Linked DNA regions of Lonchura striata. The protein of the gene in region 3 interacts with the protein of the main gene of each other region in a pairwise test. Links are inferred from orthologs where the notes say so. Each region holds a gene or a part of one and is shown on either strand. Other genes may lie near its edges. The genes, in order: SH2D1A, GIT1 and ARHGEF7.

Region 1 (6,474 bases), on a different chromosome or scaffold from region 3:
CCCTGTAAAATCAGCATCAGTCACAAGGGATTCATGAAGTCTTTGACTCTTCTCCTTTTTAAAGGTCAGGGCTCCACTTTTTAATTGGAAAAGCAAAAGGTGAATGAGCCTGACCATGAACACTGCAGTACTCATTGTGTGCCTTAAGAGGCTCAAAGCCTGCCAAAATATGTCAGGGCTTTTTGGAGGTGCTTGAGGAGGAAGATGTGGTGGTGACTGTGGCATTACAAATTTATGCAGTTTCTTGGGGAAAGGAGACATTGTTTGAGCATAAGCATGCAGTGAAATCACAGGGCTTGACAATTACAGTACCTAGAGCTGGAACTGCAGAGTAGCCACTAATGTGAATTCAAGCAGATGACACCACTGTCATCCAAATATATGCTTAATTGCTCTTTTGATAAATATTTCTTTTCATCAGAACTGTGCCTTGTAATTCCCCGTTGACGGAAAAAGGAACCCTAAAAAGGGTTAGAACTGGGAAGCTGCAGGACTTTGTTTTGGTTTGTTTTAGTTCCCCAGGTAAGTGGAGGGAGAGGGGAAAGAAGACAGACTGAACATGTCTTGATTTTGGAAAACTGGACTAGTTTTCTCTTTTTGTTTTCTAATGGCAATAGAAACACTACCTACAGTATAAAACATACACACTTCTGGTAGAATTTTTCACTGGAAACATGCAAAATATTTTGTTTAGCTCTGATACTTATTGCAGTATATCTAATGGCTGATCAGCTTTATTCCCCATGTTTCAAAGATCACTTCATTACTTCTAGTAAATTAATCTTTTGTCTGATCTTTGTATGTCAATATATTCTTATAGTGATCTTCAGCATGGATTCTGAACTACAATGTAAACTGCTGAATAACTTTGTTATTCCTAATAATTTCCATTATTTATTTAGAATGAAGTACTTTAAAAAGCAGATAAATACTTATTCTTTCTTTAATTTTCTTAGAGAGTAAAAACAGCAACTGCACACTTCCCTCAGTTTTTACCAGAGCTGCCCTGCACATGCATGTTTGTCACCTATTCCATCTGTTCCCATGATGTTCAGACTGGAATTTGGACAGGTTATGTCCATTGGTTCCTTTGCCAAAGCCAGGCTCAGCATTCTCTACCAAATACGTATCTCCATCTCTCACACCTTCCCTTCCTGTTCCTCCAGTCTCTCCACTAAAGTGCTCTGCTTTGGCAAACTTTGCCTGTCAAAGCACTTCTCTAGTTTATAGCCCACAGTTCTTCAAACTGTCATTGCTCTCAGTGTGGGATCCTTTCCTGGTATAAAAACTGTCTCCACAGTTATTGTGTGACATGCTGTTTCCCATATCTGCTATTTCCTTACATAATTATTTGAACTGACTGTTAAGAAGCATTGGAACCAAGACTTAATTCTACCATTTTTTAGCCACCTTTCTTTCTGTATCAGTTCATACTCATCATAATATTTTTCATTTAGATTTTATCTATTTCAAATTTCTTTTATAGAATAACTATTAAGGATCTATGTTCTGAGCCTTCAGAACACTCACCATTAATATTTTTTTTGCTTTTACCCTTTTGTTTATCATACATATGTTTCAATGCAACATACCATGGAGATATGAATGGCCCATAATTTCAGAAGCAATTTGGTCTGTTTCTTACTGAAGTGTCTTTTCCTCCAAAGACTGCAGAGCTTCACAGTTAGAAATGCTTTAATTTCTTCCTATTCTCATATTCCATATTTTAGTAAATTAATTAAATTTCTTTCAAAGGGCATCAATTACTACCAGTATACAAAAAATCCCAACTGATTGTGTACTACTGAACGACCTTGTTACGTACCTACATCCTGATTAAGACTGATGGTGGACTAATTCTATTATTTTCTGTCTTATTCAGCATTGTAACACTCTTCCTGACCCTTTCTCTAATGCCTTAGTGTTTCACCTGCACTGAATGACTTCTGAGTGTAAGGCTGGTATATCCCCATTTCCTCTAATAGTTATTTTAAAGAGATTCTGGTTTTATTGCCTATTCCCATCACAGGAATCATAGCACTCCTCACGTCTTGCTATGTCTATTCCATTTTCATTTAACTTAAGATGCTTCTTATTTCCCATTTTTCAGCTCTCTGTTAAGGTATTTGTTAGCAGGAGCACCTAACTTGGTTCATCTGATTTCATGAGAGAAGAAAAAATACATCCTCTGCCACAAAGACTTTTCCTGAGAAGCGTATTGTGTATTTTTGGATTGCTATAACCTTCTTGCATGTCTCCATTTACTGGTCTATAACTGGAAGATAATGATGCTCACCCAGGGCTTAATTACATCTTGTCAGAAATGTATTCATGGGATCTGGGGAAAACCTGACTTAGGACCGTCTTCCTCTTTTTTGCCAGGTACCCGAGTTCCCTCTGTTAGCTGATTTCATGCTGCACCTAAAAGTGTTTTCTCTAGTGTTCCTTCCCCTACTGAAGTCAAGCATAAATGTCATCTTTGTTTTTCTGATGCAACAGTACGGTGTCACCAGGACTTCCAAGAATTTTGCCAACAGTACGGTAATTAAGTTTCCTCATTAAAATGAGGTCCTATGAATATAAAGTCCCCCAGCTCTCCCAGGGGAACCTTTGCCTTCTCTCGGACAGATCATCCCATCAGATCTCTCCCTTTTCATCTTATTTGATGAAACATTATCACCTAGTTTGTTACCATCAGTATTTTATGTCCATTACAGGTAGTTTGCTCCAAGCCTCGTGTCCTGTGGGACAAGCCACAAGCTTGTGGGACTGAGAGCATCCTGAACAAAGGCACATTCTGGATGGCAGCACTCGGTGTTACCTTTCCCAGTGACAGGGTGACCGGGGATGCTGCTGAGCACACCCATGAGCACACTAGGGAAGCAGAAGGACACAGGCAGAAGGCAAGAGGGTTACCAGCACAAAGAGGCAGTACACACCATCCTGAGCCAAGTCGCCTGGCATTTCTCCATGCACCTTGCTTATCCTTCCCATATGCCTGCCTGCTTCCTCTTTATGGCTTTTTGTCTGTGGGATGCATGGGCTCTGCAAGGCAAAACCCGCTCCTCTTTGCTTGGTGTGGGACCCCACACCACTTATTGCCCACCTCTATCCTGACCTGAAGGAGCCGAAAGCCTCACTCAGGTAAGCAGGTGGTAACACTGGAACACATTTTGTTGTGGGGGGCCTGTCGGCAGCCAGCTGCCCCTCAGCAGCCCTGGCGGCCCCGCTCCCGGCCCGCTCCCGGCCCCACTCACAGCACGCAGAGGCAGTACACCCCCGGGATGCTCTCGCTGTCCCGCAGCAGGTAGCTGCCGTCCGTGCCCGCCGCCAGCAGCAGCTTCTCCCCAGCCTCTCGGGTGATGGCCCCGTGGTAGACGGGCACCGTGTCCATGCCGGGCCCGTCCCGCTGCAGCCGTTCTCCCGGGCTTGGCGCTTCCTCCGAGCGCGCCCCAGCCGCGCGCTCCCTCAGCCTCCGCGTCTCGCCGGCAGATGTAAACAGGATGTGTTCACACCTCTGAAGCCTCTGCACGGGTGAGACGGCACTGAGGGAAGAGTGAGGAACGAGCACAGAATTTTTGTGGGTTTTTTTCCTGTTCCCCTTTCTGCCTTCCTTTTGCGTAGGCTGCACGGCTCTCGCGCCCTCAGAGCTCGCCTCGGAGGTGTCATTCACACCCACTCTGGCCATGTGGCGCTGCTCGGCGGGACGGCGCCGCTGAGGCGCGATGGCCGGGGCCGTGGCTGGGACGGCGAGGGCAGGACCGGGCGCTGCTGCCAGCGGCTGCGCCAGGCGCTTCCCTCTCCTGCTGCTAACCCGAGAGGATTGTTACTCCAAGGAGGGTTTGTTTCGGGTTTTTTAACCTCTTGTTTTTACAGTCCCCGGGGATGAGGCTAGAGGAAGTCAGCTGAGCTCGCTGTCTCACCAGAGCTGCAGGTGCCAGCACAGCCCCAGCTCCGCACCAGCTGCCGCGGTGCCACAGACACCAGCCCCGGCTGATTCACCTCGGGGGCTGCTTTCAAAGGCTTTGGTGCTGTTTAAGCACTGTTAATGTCACGGTGGTCACTTCTCTTTGCACACACAAGGAGACCCCTCACATCTTCCCAGATGCCACTGGTGCCAATGCTGCCTTCATGTGGGGCATGAACTGGCATCCAAAATCCCGAGCCATGTCTGAAAGAGCCATTTCTCTTCACCTGCTGTGACTGAAGACAATTCCTCAGTACTTGCCAACTGAATGCTCCCACACGCACATGCACAGCTGTTTGCAAACAAGCTGTCAATGTGCTTTAATGTGCCCCACAGATGTTTCCACCCCACAGATATTTCCACCCATGGAAGAACTGAGCATATTTCCATGGGCCTGCAGCAAGCTCAGGGCTAAATTCTTCCCTGGCATGAGGCTGGCACCCTCTCTTGAAGAGCCACCTTCCCACACCTGTGTGTGTGAGCAAGAAGTCACTTAAATATAGCAATAAGTATAGGTTGTGGTTATGATTGATTGCTTTTAAATTGAGTTTAGTAGCAGGACAGGACAGAATGAAATAATCTCATCCAGGTGCTCGCAGATGCTGTGTCCTTGTTGAAGTTAAGGATACATGAAAAAATAGCTTTTAAAATAGACACAGTTCAGGAAGAGAAATGAAATTTAAAAATAGCAAAAATAATGGCCGCTCTTTTTAAACTTCAATCAAAGTCTTTTCTCTCAACCATTTAACAGTGCAATGTCTTTACTTTTTGATCTTCAATATAGTTTTTCCTTGGAAATATTTTTTTTCAAACTAGCTTTAGTTTTTCCTTTTGAGGGATGGGTATTTCTGATCCCAGAGTCACAGGGTAGCTCGTGCATGGGGCACTGCACAAAGTCACTGATGGCAAAGCTGCAGCGTTTGAAGACCAAGAGCCTCTTTCCCCACAGGGAGACCTTGGCAAGTGACTGCCTCCTTGGCTGGCACTGAGAGGCTGAGAAAGCTGCAGAAATGTCAGCTGAAGAGAGACTGAAAACTCCCACCACCGAGTTTATGGTCTTTCTATCTCATTATGCAGGTATTCATTACCCCCTTTACGTGAATCTGGGGACTCAGACATCCTGCTTGGTGTTTTTAAACCAGTTGTTAAAGTATTTGCACATAAAGTAGCTGCTGCCTACTGCAAATCTGATTAATGTGGACAGCAACAAGCTGTAAAGCTGCTGCCTATTTCCAAACTACCTGTGCTCTTGGGGATTTCATCCAACTTTCCCATTTCTTAACCTATTCTCAATATTAATAGCTGATTTCAGAAAAAGTATGTGTGTAATTAGCTGGAGAGGAAAACCAGCCAGAATTATTTAATTCTGCAAATTTAATTGTCCCACTCATTAGATTTCAACTAAAGAAAATCATAAAACTTTTCACTGTGAGTTCCTCTGCTAATGTGGAGTCACCGCCTCACCCAGCCAACCTGCATTCTCCAGCACTTGGATGAAGAAGCATCTATTACTGTAAAACAGCTGTAAACACACAACTTTGCTAGTCTGGTTAAGAAATCTATAAAAGTCCAGCTACTGAATCTCAACCCCAGGCTTCCATACAAGTCCCTTTACGGCCCCACTGACTAGGGGAATTGCAGCTTTTAAGAAATCCTGGAAATCCTGTGTTTGGGAACAAGGGACAGTAACATTGAGGTACCTGTCAGGGACTGAAATGGTTCATGCCTTAAACATTGTTATGAAGCAGTTTTGCCCATTATAGCAAAAACTGTACAAAGAAGCTACAAGCACAGAAGCCCACCCCTCCCTAAAGATGCCTGACTGTAACTTTGGACCCTGAGGTAAGCCATATAGATAACATAAAGGGGACACTATTGTTCAATAATCTCAGGCTGAGGGAGAAGAATGAATCCACAAGAAAGCCAAACTCAGAAGCTGCATTGAAAATCGCCTCTGGCCATGTTTGGGGTGGGGGAGACCACAGCTTACAGAGGCCAGGTTTGCACAGACCCTCCCACAACTGAGGGCTGGGGAGGAGGCTTTTTGTGCATGGCATAAACTCTGGTCAGAGGCACTGAACAAAGAGGCCCAGCTGTGAAATCCCCAGCCCCACAGGCCACATGCGTGGGACATCCACATGGGAGGCAGCTGAGGGGGGTGTCATAATCCATCAAAGACCCCCCCCAAAGTGCTCCCCAGACTCATTCCTGAGGCCTGGCACCACAGCATTGCATGGGACACAAAGTGATGCTACAGACCTGTTGTGAGACACCATCAAACTGTCCCCCACCCAGGGGGGAGGTACCTGGGCATTCCCACCTGGCCTGAGCACATATTATTTAATTGGATTCTGTGCTTTTCAAGGGACCCTCACCACCAAGAAGACCAGCTGGAGAGGATCAAAGAAACATCGCTGGGATCCATGGAGTGGTGGTATTGTCTTTATTCTGTCTCTGTCACTCTCTTTCTCTTGCCCCCCCCCCTCCCCCCACACCTTTTCTATTTC
Region 2 (6,474 bases), on a different chromosome or scaffold from region 3:
ATCTCCGCCCGCGCTGAGCTCCCGGGAAGACTGACCCCAAATTAGCACGAAAATAAAAACACTGGCCATGGGGTGGGAGACCGGGGCGATGCTGGCGCAGCCTCCGGCTGGACCCCACAATAGAGACGGGTGTGGCGGGAGCCATCGCCTGCATCCCGGCGGGAGCTTCGCGGCACAATGACCCCCGTTTCACGCATCACCAGGGTCCATCCAGCACGGCCCTCGGTGCCTTGGGGTTTGGGAACCCGGGCCGAGAGACTGGGGATGCTCAGCACAGCTTCCCCGCCAGCCTCCCTCCAGCGCCTGCGGTTTCCTGCGTCTTCGGGGTTGGGTTTTAATTACCTGAATTGCATCGCCACGGGGGAGAGGGAGGCTGGGAACCCGCCGGGGAAGCACCCACACCCCGCTCCATCACCAGGCGGCTGGGAGGTTCCCTGGCTGAGGGACAAAGTGGGTCCCCTCACCATGAGGAGAACCCTTGTGGGGCTGGGGGGCTGCGCCCCGACAGCATCAGGGCCCTTGTCCCCCCGCCCCCAGGGGCTCAGCCTGAGGGTGCGGAGCTGATGCTGCACCCCCAGGGGGCTGGCAATACCCTGAGAAGCGGGGTGCGGGCCGGGGGTCTGCAGAGGCCTAGCAGGGAGCCGGGGACACGTGCGGAGGGCTGCTCGGGGCTGCGTGTGCTGGAGGATGCAGGGGACCCGCGGGTGGCACCCACCGCTCCCTGGCAGCCCCGGGGACAGCGGGCACAGTCCCGGGGTGCGGGTGGGGACACACAGCGCACCCCCAGAGCCCCGCCAGCGCAGAGAGCGACCCCATCCTTATCACCCCCCTCATCTCCATCCTCATCCTCACCCCGGCCCCGAGCATTGCATCAGCCCGAGCGGAGCCGGGCCGGGCCGGGCCGTGCCGGGAGTGTCCCCGCGCCGCCCCACCTGCTTGGCGCTGAGCTCCCGGTCCAGGTCACGGGCGCGGTTGTGCCAGACGAGGTAGTGCAGCGGGTACCTGCCCTCCGGCCCCTTCCTGCCCGAGCAAGACGCGAGCATCCTCCGTGCATGCTGGAGCGGCGCGGCGGGCGCGGCGCGGGGCGGCGCGGCGCGGGGCGGGGGGGCGCGGGGCGGGGCGGGCCACCACCTCCCGCCCGGTGCTTCCCCGGCCCCCCCGCACCGCCCGGCCTCATGGGACTTGTAGTTGCCCTGCCCGGCATCGCCCCCTTCTCCTTCCTCATCTTCATCCTCCTCTTTCCTCGCCCCCCCCTCCCGCACCGCTCAGTCCATCACCGCGGCTTCCGATCCCGCGGGGGGGACCTGCGAAGGGGCGCCCCATTGGCGATTAGCATCCTCCCCACATTGCCCCCTTTCCCAGGCTGATCTTCCCCTTCCCAGCTGATCTCCGCTCCCCCGGTGGGGCAGCGGACCCGGGCATATGGTGGGGCAGGGGTGAAGGCGGCAGGTGGGGACCAGGTGGGGGGACCCCGACTCCCGGCCCCGCAGCACCAGGCACGGGGGCCCCAGCCCCGTTTCCTTTTCCGCCCGCGTCTCTCCCGGGCGGGCGTCGCGTTTTCCGGCTGCCGCCCGAGAACAATGCAAGGCTGGGCCTCTGCGGCCGCCCCGGCCTCCGCCGGCGCCACGCTCCCGGCCCCGCACCCCGCTGCTCCCCACCCTGCCATGGGAGGAGCCCCCCGCTGTTGTTCTCTGCTCGGCCGTGGCGGTGGTCGCATCCCCCCGCCCCTGTCCCCGCACAGCATCCCCCGTCCCCGCTGCCCCATGATGTCGTGAGCAGCCCGCGGTGAGGCCACCCCGCCTGCCCCACGGCGGGGGGACACCATGCGACCCCGCTCCTGCTGGGGTCTGACCCCCCCGGCTGGCTGTGGGGCACCCATCGGTGTCCCCTCTGGTACCTAAAGGGTCGCAGGAGGGAGCAGACCCCATACAGTCCCCAGTCCTCCCCACCCACCCCCAAAATCCCCAGTGGAGCACCATAAAGGGGTGTGTGGCCCAACCCAGTGTCCTGGAGAAGGGGTGTGTCCGGGAGTGGGGTACACAGCGTCAGAGGTGGCATGGGGAAGAGGGCTGGGGCTGCCCCAGGACTGCGGCTGGATCCAGAACAAGTGTCCAGAGCAGGACTGCAGCAATTTGGGGGTGCCCTGGGCTGGGACTGGGGGTACACGGGACCCGGTACAGGAATGAGATCAGTGCCACCCCTCCAGGATAAACAGGACAAGGGCGGGGAGGAGGACCAGGACAAAATGAAAATGGGACCGGGAGTGCACCGAGGACGGGCACGGGGTCAGGGCTAGGGGATGCCCGGGATCAGAGCAAGGGCAGTGCTGACGCCCAGGAGCAGGTGAGGTGCCCCGGTCCGGGACCGGGCTGTCCGGGGGGCGTTTGCAGGTGCGGGTGCGGGTCGGGGGCGGCGCCGGTGCGGGTGTGTGCAGCGGTGCCGGTGTCCGCACGAATTCTTGTGCGCGTCCGGGTCCGTGTGCGGGGCGGGGGCGGTCCCGGTGCGTGTCCCGGTGCGGGGCGGTGCCGGCGCCGGTGCGGGTTCGGGTGCGGCTGCGAGTGCGGGGCGGTGCCGGTGCCGGTGCGGGGCGGCCGCGGCGGCGCTGCCGGTGGCGGGGCGGGGGCGGTGCGGCCCCTCCTCCGCCGGGGCCGGGCCTGCGCCGCTTCCTGCGGAGCCGCCGGGCGCTGGGAGCAGCCGGCAGCCCCCGGCCCCGCCGCCCGGGCCCCGCCGCCCCCTCCCCGCTGCCCGGCCCCCCCCACCCCTTCCCCGCCGCCGCTCCCCCGGCGGGCCCGGGGGCGCCGCCGCCGCCCCACGCTGGCGCAGAGGCCCGGGCCCGGGCCCGCCTCGCCGCTGAGGATGTCCCGGAAGGCGCCGCGGGCAGAGGTGTGCGCCGACTGCAGCGCCCCAGGTAAGGGCCCCCCCGCATCGGCACCGGCACGGCCCCGCCAGCCCCCCCGCGCCTCCTGCTGCCCCCCGGAGCCTGCCCTGCGCTCCCCCCGCGCCGCCGAGAGCCCCCGGGGCGGCCCCGCAGCCCCGCCAGCCCCCGCTGCACCCCGGGGTGCTTGCCCCCGGACTGCTCCCCGTGACCCCTTTTGCATCTCCTTCTACACCCCACATCGAGACCCCTTTGCACCTCCCTGAGTGCCCCCAGGGTCGCCCTGGTGATTCCTTTCTGCGCCCCACTCTGCGCACCCGAGGGAGCCCCATGGAGTCCCCCTCCTTCCCCCCAGGAGCCCTCTGATGTGCCCCCAGTGAAACGCTTTGATGAAACCCATGACCCCGTTGGTGCACCCCCTTTTAGCCTCCTGGAATGCCCGAATACACCCGAGACGCAGCCCCGATACCCCCGCATGCCCTCCTCCGTGCCGCTCCAGCGCGCCCCGTGTGCCCCACGCCCCCCTGCACCACCCACGGCGTTCTCACCCCAGCGCGGGGGCTGCTGGCACAGGCTGGGGGCGCGCCGGTCGGTGCCAGCAGCGCTGGTGACCCTGTAAATGGCAGGATGATGGGGGACACCCTGCACCCCACAGCCGGCACCCACCCCAGCCGGATCCGGGCTTGGCGGTGCCGGTTGGGTGAGCCCGGCGGCCGCCGCGCTGCAAGCCGGAGCCGAGCCTGGGCAAGACCATTCCCATCCCCGGCGGTGCCCGTGCCCACAGCCCCCACGCTGGGCACGCGCGGAGGGTTTGGCCCCCCAAACCCTGCCCACGGTAGGGCCGGACCCCAAACCTGCCCGTAGCCGGTGCAGGTGGCCCCACGGCAATGAATGAACGGGTCTCCGAGCCGGCCCCGGAAAGCTGCCCGCGGGCCAAGGCTGTGCCGAAATTATTCCGGCCACGTGCCAATGGCCGGATCCTGCCAGGAGAGCTGTCGGCACGCGTGGGCGAAAGGCTGCCCTGCCTCCTGGCATCCCCCGTGCCGGCGGGCGAGCGGGGGGCCAGGGGTTCCCGGGGCGGTGCCGGGGCTCCCTTCTGCGGCCAGGGGAAATGGAAACCAGTCTCTTCCAATCTCTTATCGCCTGGCAGCCATGGGAGGAAATGAGTTATAAAGTCCAGAGGCCGTTTCCTAGCGCGCTGGGAGCACCCGCTGTCGCTGCCGGGGATGCGCTGCCTGGCCCTGCGTGGGGAGGTGCCCGTGGGATGCGCTGGTCCCTGTGCCCGGCCTCCCTCGGCCCCACGCAGGGATGCCGGCTGGCCCCAGCCCTGCCATCGCCAGTGCGGGGCCGAGCGCTGGCGGTCCCGGTGCCAGCGCACATCCCGATGCGGGGATCGAGGTGCTGCGAGCTCCCTTGGACTCCAGGATCCTGCCAGGGTTTGGAGTGTCCCTGTGCGAGCACTCCACGATCTGCTGCAGTGCCCGCCCGCATCCCACCACATCCCAGCGGTTTTAGGGTGGGAGGGGCTGTTGCCCCAGGGATATTCTGGATCCACCCGCTTGGAGGGGCCGGCTCCCCCCGCACGGAGCGTCCTGTTCCCGGCGGTGGCCGTGGGCAGCGGGTGCGAAGGCGCAGATGCCGCCGCACCGGCTGCCAAGGCGCTGCCATCTGCGTGCGAGGGGCTGCCAGGCTGGGGGGGCCACCGCTCCCCCCGGGCCACCCCACCCCGGCCCCGGGGCACTGCAGCATGGCAGGATGCCGTGCCCCCCAGCACGGTGTCCTCAGGGCTCTGGGGGGGTGCGTGGGGAGGGGTCCGGGACCCTGCAGGGAGGAAGGAAGTGGGGGAGGCTTGGCTGCTTGCCTGCCTTCCTCTCTCTGTGAGGTCGTGGGGCCACTGGGGGCTCAGGGCCATCGGGCAGGTCAGTGTGGTCACCTCCCCAGGCCCTGTATCCCCGGGCGTGGGGCTGCCCCCCGCCGTGGGACAGTGTGGCGTTTGTGTAGGACCTACAGAAACGAGGGGATGGGGTGGGGCTGGGCAGAGGGTGGCAGGACTGCCCCGTCGTGCCTGGCGGAGGGGACACCTGGGAACGATTCAGCGATTCAGCATCCGTGCCTGGCTGCCTTTCCCGGGGGGGAGAGGGGCTGTGACCCAGCGGGGGTCCCCAAATCCTGTCCTCATGCTGCTGTGAACAGCTGCAGCTCAACGGCCACACCACGGGGCCAGGCCCCCTCGTCCCCAGGACCTGTTTTTGGGGTGCAGGCGTGGGGAGCCGCTGCCTGGCCGGGAGCGGTGCCCCCGCGGGTGCCGGGGCTGGTGCCAGCGCGGGGCCAGCGCGGCTGCTCAAACGATCCTTTGTTCCCAGCGGGGACACAAAGGGCTCCAGTCCAGCCGGCCGGGGCCAGCGGCGGGGCTGGAGGGGCACGGCAGCCTGGGGGGCCATGGCACCTGCCCCGGGGCTGGGGTGTCCTGTGGGCTGGCTGCGCTGCGGAGCTGAGGGTGCAGAGCTGGTGACCACCCTACCTAGGAGCCCATGGACTGGGGGTGCCCACCCCTTGTGGGACACACTGCCCCCATCCAGGACCCCCCAACACCCAGCCAGGGGCTCCGGGGGTGAGTGACCTCGCAGTGAGCCAGGGTGCCCCTGATCAGAGTGTGCTGGCATCATCCCTGCCACCAGCTGTCCTCCTGATGGTGGGGGGCCAAACCCTGCCCCCCTTTTGGCTGGCGGTTGCTATGGGAAACCCGTGGGTTTCCCCTGGTGATGGGCCGAGCCCCTCTCCATCTCCCGGGAAATGGTTGCTGTGGCAACGCATCCCCCCTGCTGGATGGATGCATGAGGAGGGGACCGCACGGGGAGGGGACACCCGCTGACACCCCCATGCCACCCCCAGACCCTGGCTGGGCGTCGATCAACCGCGGGGTGCTCATCTGCGACGAGTGCTGCAGCGTGCACCGCAGCCTGGGCCGCCACATCTCCATCGTCAAGCACCTGCGCCACAGCCCCTGGCCCGCCACCCTGCTCCAGGTGGGTGCTGGGGACACTGGAACGGGGGGAGATGCGCACTGGGACCCCCCCCCCCGCCCACTGGGCCCTGCCTGTCCCCTGCAGATGGTGCACACCTTGGCGAGCAACGGGGCCAACTCCATCTGGGAGCACTCGCTGCTGGATCCAGCGCAGGTGCAGAGCGGGCGCCGGAAGGCAAACCCCCAGGACAAAGTGCAGTAAGTGTCCCCTGTGCTGTGGGGAGGGGGTCAGCACTGGCTGCAAGCCCCCTCCTCACCCAAAACCCACTGCTCACACCCAGCCCCACCAAGTCGGAGTTCATCCGTGCCAAGTACCAGATGCTGGCCTTCGTCCACAAGCTGCCCTGCCGGGATGATGACGGTGTCACTGCCAAGGACCTCAGCAAGGTGGAGTGGCGGCTCAGGGACCCCCACTATGGCAGTGAGGACAGATCCCCCCATTACCAGCTCTCTCCTCTGCAGCAATTGCACTCGAGCGTGCGGACGGGTAACCTGGAGACCTGCTTGCGCCTGCTCTCGCTGGGTGCCCAGGCCAACTTCTTCCACCCGGTGAGCTCTGGTGGGGCCCAGGGAC
Region 3 (6,474 bases):
TCTTTACCTGTTTTTTCCTTCCTCTCCTGTTCTTCATCCTCCCAAACCAATTGCTCAGGCTAAAAGAATAAATAAAAGCCACATAAGTATAATTGTCTTTTGGAGACTTTCAGTTAAGTCATACTGCAGAACAGAGAAAGTATCTCTGCTGATAACTTTTTGGTCAAATTGCAAACTGGCAATTTATTCCTGCTGTTTTGTCTTTCAACCAGTCACTAATCCGTGACAGAAATTTACTTTCTACCACATGCTTACCTGGTTTCCTTAGTAACTTCTCATGAGAATATGGCAAAAGCTGGGAAAAGACCAAATAAATTGTCAACCACTTAATCTTTATGTATACAAAATTATGTGCTGTTACATCTACTAGATCTCTGCTAAAGCTGCCTGATGCATTTCAGAGAACAATGATTTTTTTCTTGTTCAAAAGAGGTCCAGACAGTATTAAACTGAGACACCTCCCCCTTCCCCTCCTCCCCCACCAAATTCCCCAAATATCAGAATCTTTTTGCTTGTGTAAACAGATTTAAGGTCTGGAAGTTACCTGAACCTACAAGCTTCATATATATATATATCCCTTGTTTATAAAAGTCAGTACCAAAATTACTTTTTCAGCTTTGCATAAATTTAAAATATTTTGCAGGAAAAAAAGTAGTTTAAATCATCCCTCATCCCCTAAAAGAAAGTTGTTAAAATCTATCCCATCTTTCAGAAAGAATTTATACTATTTAAATACTATCAAAATGGATGTTTGAATAAAGATGTCATGAGTTTATGATTTAGAAGCAACAGTGGGATCAGAATCAGGTCATAAGAGAATCAGAACATCTTTAATTGTGAAACAAAGAGGAAGAAGGAGTGCAGACTTACAATAAGTGTATGTATCATTGTTTGTGTTACTTCAAAACTCCCACCATGGCATGGGCTCCACTCGCTAGACAGCACATGCAAAATATCTGTGTGTCCTACAAGGTTTTAGTACAAATGGACAGTACTGGGACATGCAGGAGGAAAGAATAAAACAAGGGAGCTGTGCAGAGAGTTCAGGTGCTTTGCAGTAAATACCTGGTAGGGGAAAGTCTGACAAGAAAGGAATATAGGCAGGGAGTGGCATGCTCCTAAATCTTTTGGGCACTTTAATTTTTTTCCTTTAAAGATCTTGAAATGGTTTCCTGACCTGTGTCAAGCTTCTTTTAGAAGTCTCCAAGCAATCTATCCACATGGCTTTCCAATGGCAAAGAACTGCCATGTTTGTGTTCTTCATAGCTGACAAATCATTGGATCAGAAGCTGTTGTTCAAAATAGATATGGAAGACAGTACAGTTAAGTGCAGAAGAATGATGAGGAGATAGGTGATGAATGTCAGTGATAACCCAGATATTGCTTATCATGAAACCCTTTATGCTTTGCTAAGATCACTATTCTGTGTTGTAATATATGGTTATTTCCATTGTCTTTGGATGGGTTTTCCCACAACATGTCTTGTATCATGTTCTCTGCTATAATCAGCCATGCACTTTTCACCTCGTTCATGTACCCATCACATCTCTCATATAAAAAGTTTCATAAACTCATGCCCATAGTTTTCTATCATGGGCCAGTGCCAGGGAGGTCCCCACTTGCTGCTCATCTTGCTCGGGAAGCTACTGGGGTACCCCTGCTGGGGATGCTGATGTAATGAGCACCTGACCATTGCTGTGTGCATTGTACTTGTTTATCCCATCCTGCTTGAATCCGGGTGGGCATTAATACTGACAGAGGCAAGTCTGCTGCTCTCACCTCGACCAAAAAGCAAGGGGCAAAACAAAAAACAAATTTTGGAAGAGGTATCTACCTGAAATGTGAAATTTAAGAATTTAAGAAAATCTGCACCTATTATGGGTTAGGAGGAGATTGAGTGTTGAAATTAGATTATCTTGTACCAAATTGAAATGCACCTCTGTCTTTCTGGGCTGGCTGGTGATTTGGTAGGAGATTCTGGGTCAAAAGAACCTACCAGAGCTGCTGCTCAGGGACTGTGATGGTGGTGGATGCAGTACGCCAGGCTGGAAGCAGAACAGCAGCGATGAGTTTGGGTTGGCATTGTTGCCTCTGCCTTTGCCTTTTGGAGTAGGCATTTTGCCCCTCAAGGGCGTCAGATGGGGCGAGAAGGGAAAGCAGGGGCTGTGGTGGTATCGCCTCTCCTGGCGTGTGCGAGGCTGATGGCAACAGAGGGACCCTGGGAGCCCACAGCAGCCAGCTCCTAACAAAAAAGAAAATACTGATTGCTCATAGTGTCCCGTCCAAGCAAATCCTTGAGGAACGGCTTTTGTCAGAATAAAAGGCACAGGAGGGCTCTGTTTCAGGTTAGTCTTCACAGTCCTTCTGTGTAGAGTATTTACGCTGGCTTCCCAGGCGGTGCCGCAGACCATCGGGGGGGAAGCTGGCGGGAGGCGCTCGGGGATGGAGCATCCCAGCAGGCGCACGGCGGGGATGGCGCGCACCGGGGCGAGCCCGCGACCCGGCCGCTGGCCCGAGGCTGCAAACGGGTTTCCTTGCAAGGGAACGACGGGCAAAGGCAGAGATCGCGTTACTGCGGCCGGTCGGGCCGGCGCCCGCTGCCGGCGCTCCCAGAGGGAGATGGTCCGAAACCAGTCTCCCGGAGCCTGGCGCCGAAGGCTTGAGGGGGTTCGTTCTCTGCGCGACGGCGCCGTCCGAGGAGGAGATGAGGGGCCGGGGGATCCCGCAACTTTTCCCCGCGGCCGGCGGTGCCCGGCGGCTCCCGCTCCCGCCTCGCTGCGCGCCCGCGGAGGCGCCGCCCGCCCGCTAGGGGGCGCGCGCCGGCCGCCGCTCGGCGCGCGCAGCGGGCGCGGAGCGGTGCGCGGGGCTCCGCGGGCGCGCGGCCCCGCCGCCGCCGCTGCCAGTGATGTCATGGGGCGGCGGCGGCGGCGGCGGCGGCGGCGGGGGGGCGGGGAGGAGGCGGCACTGCAGCTGCATGTGTCTGTAGCGGCGGGGCCGGGGCGTCGTCATCTGCATTCACATGGGGGCGGCGCCGCCGGCCTCCGCCTGAAGCCCCCGCCGGGGGACACACAAAACCCACGCGAGGCGCGGGGCGCCGCGACCCCCGCCCGCCGCCGCCATCGCCATGAATTCGGCGGAGCAGACCGTTACGTGGCTGATCGCCCTGGGCGTGCTGGAGTCGCCCAAAAAGACCATCTCCGACCCCGAGGGCTTCCTTCAGTCCTCCCTGAAGGATGGCGTGGTGCTGTGCCGCCTGCTCGACCGCCTGCTCCCGGGCACCATAGACAAAGTAAGTGCCCGGCGGCCCCCGCCCCGCCGCCCTTTGTGCGGCCGGGCCCGCCGCCCCCGGCCCCGCCCGCGCCGCCCCCCGCTCCGGAGGGGGACCCCGGGCCCGGGGAGGGCGGTGGGGGGCGCGGGGGGCGGAGCGGGGCCGGTCCCCGGCGGGGGAGAGCGGGGAGCGGCAGCCGGGCTGGAGGGGAACCCCCGTGAGGAGCCACTGTTCTGCAAGTGTTGTACGGACGCTCCGCTTCCCAAAGCGGAGTCCCGGCTGTGCATGGGAGATGCATTAATTTTGGAGGGTGGACTATGGACCCTGCCCTGCGTGCCACGAGCCGGCTGCAAACTTATCTACGCAACTGCTGGAGCAGCCGGTGCCTCACCTCGCTTGGGAGGTGATTCAGCTCATCCCTTCCAGCCTCTGAAGGACATTTTAGCGTTTGATGCTTAGTTTTCTTGAAGGCTGCTTAAGCGTTATTTGGGTCCTTTACTGTTCGGTAGCCTGTGGAAAAAAAATCTCCTTTTTTTTTTTTTTTTTTTTTTTTTTTTTTTTGTGCTGAAAAAACGCGTTACAGCTCTAGTTTGTGTTTTGTTTGAAGAAAATGTACTCTGTCAGGTAACTTCTATGTGTTCTGTGTGCGTACATAATTCCCGTCGTCGCTCAGCCAGAGGGAAAAGACAACCAAAGGGGTTTGGTTGTGCCTCAAAACTTGGGACAGTACTGTTGTCTCACCTGATGTTTAGTAACATAGTGCACACAGAGATCCACATATTGACAAAAATCTTTCCTCGTGTGCCAGTCTAAGGTAGTGAAGATTGATGAAGGTCATCTGCTATGATGATGGGATGACTCCTTGCTTGAAAATAACACCGTATTTTTCACCTTTTGCAGAACAGTTGGCAGAGCATTCCACTCGCTGGAGCCTGCTGACAGTGAGCTTTTGTTACCTTTTGTGGCTCTATTTCGAGTAGTTCTCAGACCCACAAAGTTGTAACCAGCGCCTTGAGCTTAGCAGGACACTGGGCTGGGCTGTCCCACTTCGGTTCTTCAGTTTGCCACCCACTGGAGTTGTTATTGTTTTGTGTTGTACATGAAGGTCTTGGCTCTGGACTGGAGTCCCATTCTGCGGATTTAGTAGATCATTCCTGCCTCCCAGATTCACAGGTACATCAGGAGGTGGTACGGGGATGTGGACTCCTCACAGGAGCCCGCAGTGCTCTTGGCGGGTGATGGAAGTGATGAGAGCGGGCACAGTGTGTTGGTGGCTGTGTGAGCGTGGCTAACTCAAGGATCACCATGGTGGCCAGTGGGGACTAGCTGGGACAGCTGAAGCCCCTGCCACTGCTGCTGTCAGCTTTCCCCGCCACCATTTCCCCGTAAGTGGCTGTTCAGGCAGTAGAGCTGAAGAGGATGCCCCTGCTCCTAAAGGGGCTGCAGCTTTGTGGAGGTGGTACATGAGGTGCAAACTGTTGTCCAGTGCACTGGGCTGCAAAGTAGGGCTCCAGAGCAGGTAAATGTCCTGCTCTGCCATTCAGTAAATGTCCTGTTCTGCAATCCAGGGTGGCACGCGTGACATGGGGCTTGGGGTAAGTGGGGGCTCCTCCACCTGACTATCCACTGATTCTGACAGGCTCCGCCCATGCCTCCTTGTCCCCAGACTCTTTTGCCTGGTGGCACCAAGCCCAAGGAGGGTTTTGGGAGCCTTTCCCACACTGCTGCTCCAGGCACGCTTCCTGAGCACATCTTGGACTTTGGGTTCTTAGCTTTAGGGCAGAAAAGGTCTTTCCCCTTTGTGCAGATGTCAAGCCTGGTAAAGTGGGGTCCTGCACTCAATCTGGGAAAGAGGCTCTACCAATAAACAAAAAAGCAGAACAGAAATAAGTGTTACAAGAGTGTTTCCCAACTTAATGTGTTTCTCTGTTACAGTATAGTTTGGGACAGCTCGGTTATTGAATGAGAGACTCTCTTTTTATCTGAGGACCAAACACCTCTCATGTTTGGGTGGGGGTCCCTTCACAGCACAGAGGAAGGTTTACAGAGGCGCGCAGCTCCGCACAGCCAACAACGAGAGCAGCCTGGGTGCGAGGAGCTGCCGGCGGGACTCGCGGTGGCCCTGGCGCTGCAGCAGCGCGGGGCTCGCAGCGGGAGCAGTGCGGGCTGGGCTGGCAGCCAGGCGGGAGGAAGGCTGGCGCCTCGCAGCCTCCCACCTCCCCGAGCTCGCCCCGCGCCGAGCAGGGCGCTGGGACAGGCGGCCGCCCCGGCGTCCCTGCTGCCCCTGTGTGTTTCCTCTGGCTCTGACTTAGTTATAAGTCTGGGGAGAAATAGACATTTTAAAAAATTATTTTAGGAGGATCTTTGGTTTTGTAAGGGTAACTGTTCTTATTTCCCTGGACCATTCACAAAGCACTTTCTAATTCATAGATATGTCTGAGAGACTCACAAACTCATTTTTCCACCTAACTTTGTAAATATTCTTTTTCTGTAGACTCAGAATTTACACCCCATACCTCTTTCACGTTCTCATCTATGTTATGTCTGAGCTGTTTCCGTGTTACTTTATTCTCTTTCTTTGTTTGTTAGTAAACAGACATAAATTTTACATCCTTTATTGTGCCATGGTAGTTTTTCCAAGTCTTTTTGGCTACTACTCTTTGTTACTTTTTTAATACTAAGTGCATTTGAAATATGAGCCTTTTTATTCCTTATTTGCCCCGAAAATCTCCAGTTTAAGTTTAAAAGATACAAGGATGTCTGACAGATGTAGACTGATTCAGTTCTTAAAATCCTTTGAGATTGTAACTTTCTATAAATATCTGACATTAGCAGATACTCTGAAGACTCACAGAGCTCATTTTTCTGTAAATACAAAATAGTAACTAAAACCAAAGGGAATATTAAAAAAAATACAAAACATAAATATGAAGGAATGTCTATCTACTTGGGGTGCTTTTAAATAGGTTTTCTAAAAAAATGCTATAAATGTATTTCTTTCTTTCAAAAACAGATTAGAAAGAAGATTCAATATATGCAGGAATGTAGTAATACATTTTTTGACATTTTGTGCTTTTTAAAGCCTCTGGGTACCCTGAGAGTAAGTAGTAGGAGATTTTTAATAAATAAAGATTGTGCGACCATAAAAGGAATCAAGCACTTGAAGGTCAAAGAACAGAATTTTCATAAGTTGATAAAACAAATCA

Evidence for each region.
Region 1: the proteins of ARHGEF7 (region 3) and SH2D1A interact in binary tests that used the Homo sapiens proteins (3 or more experiments, as listed by UniProt). The link is inferred for Lonchura striata from reciprocal best matches to the Homo sapiens genes ARHGEF7 and SH2D1A.
Region 2: the proteins of ARHGEF7 (region 3) and GIT1 interact in binary tests that used the Homo sapiens proteins (3 or more experiments, as listed by UniProt). The link is inferred for Lonchura striata from reciprocal best matches to the Homo sapiens genes ARHGEF7 and GIT1.

The regions. Positions count from the first base shown.
Region 1 is NC_134616.1:9,952,880-9,959,353, reverse strand, and holds the start of SH2D1A (SH2 domain-containing protein 1A), read right to left. Parts: upstream 3,395-6,474; coding exon 3,258-3,394; intron 1-3,257.
Region 2 is NC_134622.1:7,766,108-7,772,581, reverse strand, and holds the start of GIT1 (ARF GTPase-activating protein GIT1), read left to right. Parts: upstream 1-2,802; 5' UTR 2,803-2,856; coding exon 2,857-2,908; intron 2,909-5,767; coding exon 5,768-5,901; intron 5,902-5,985; coding exon 5,986-6,098; intron 6,099-6,181; coding exon 6,182-6,287; intron 6,288-6,362; coding exon 6,363-6,449; intron 6,450-6,474. UniProt on the Homo sapiens protein: GTPase-activating protein for ADP ribosylation factor family members, including ARF1.
Region 3 is NC_134604.1:92,628,490-92,634,963, reverse strand, and holds the start of ARHGEF7 (rho guanine nucleotide exchange factor 7), read left to right. Parts: upstream 1-2,990; 5' UTR 2,991-3,124; coding exon 3,125-3,289; intron 3,290-6,474. UniProt on the Homo sapiens protein: Acts as a RAC1 guanine nucleotide exchange factor (GEF) and can induce membrane ruffling. Functions in cell migration, attachment and cell spreading. Promotes targeting of RAC1 to focal adhesions. May function as a positive regulator of apoptosis.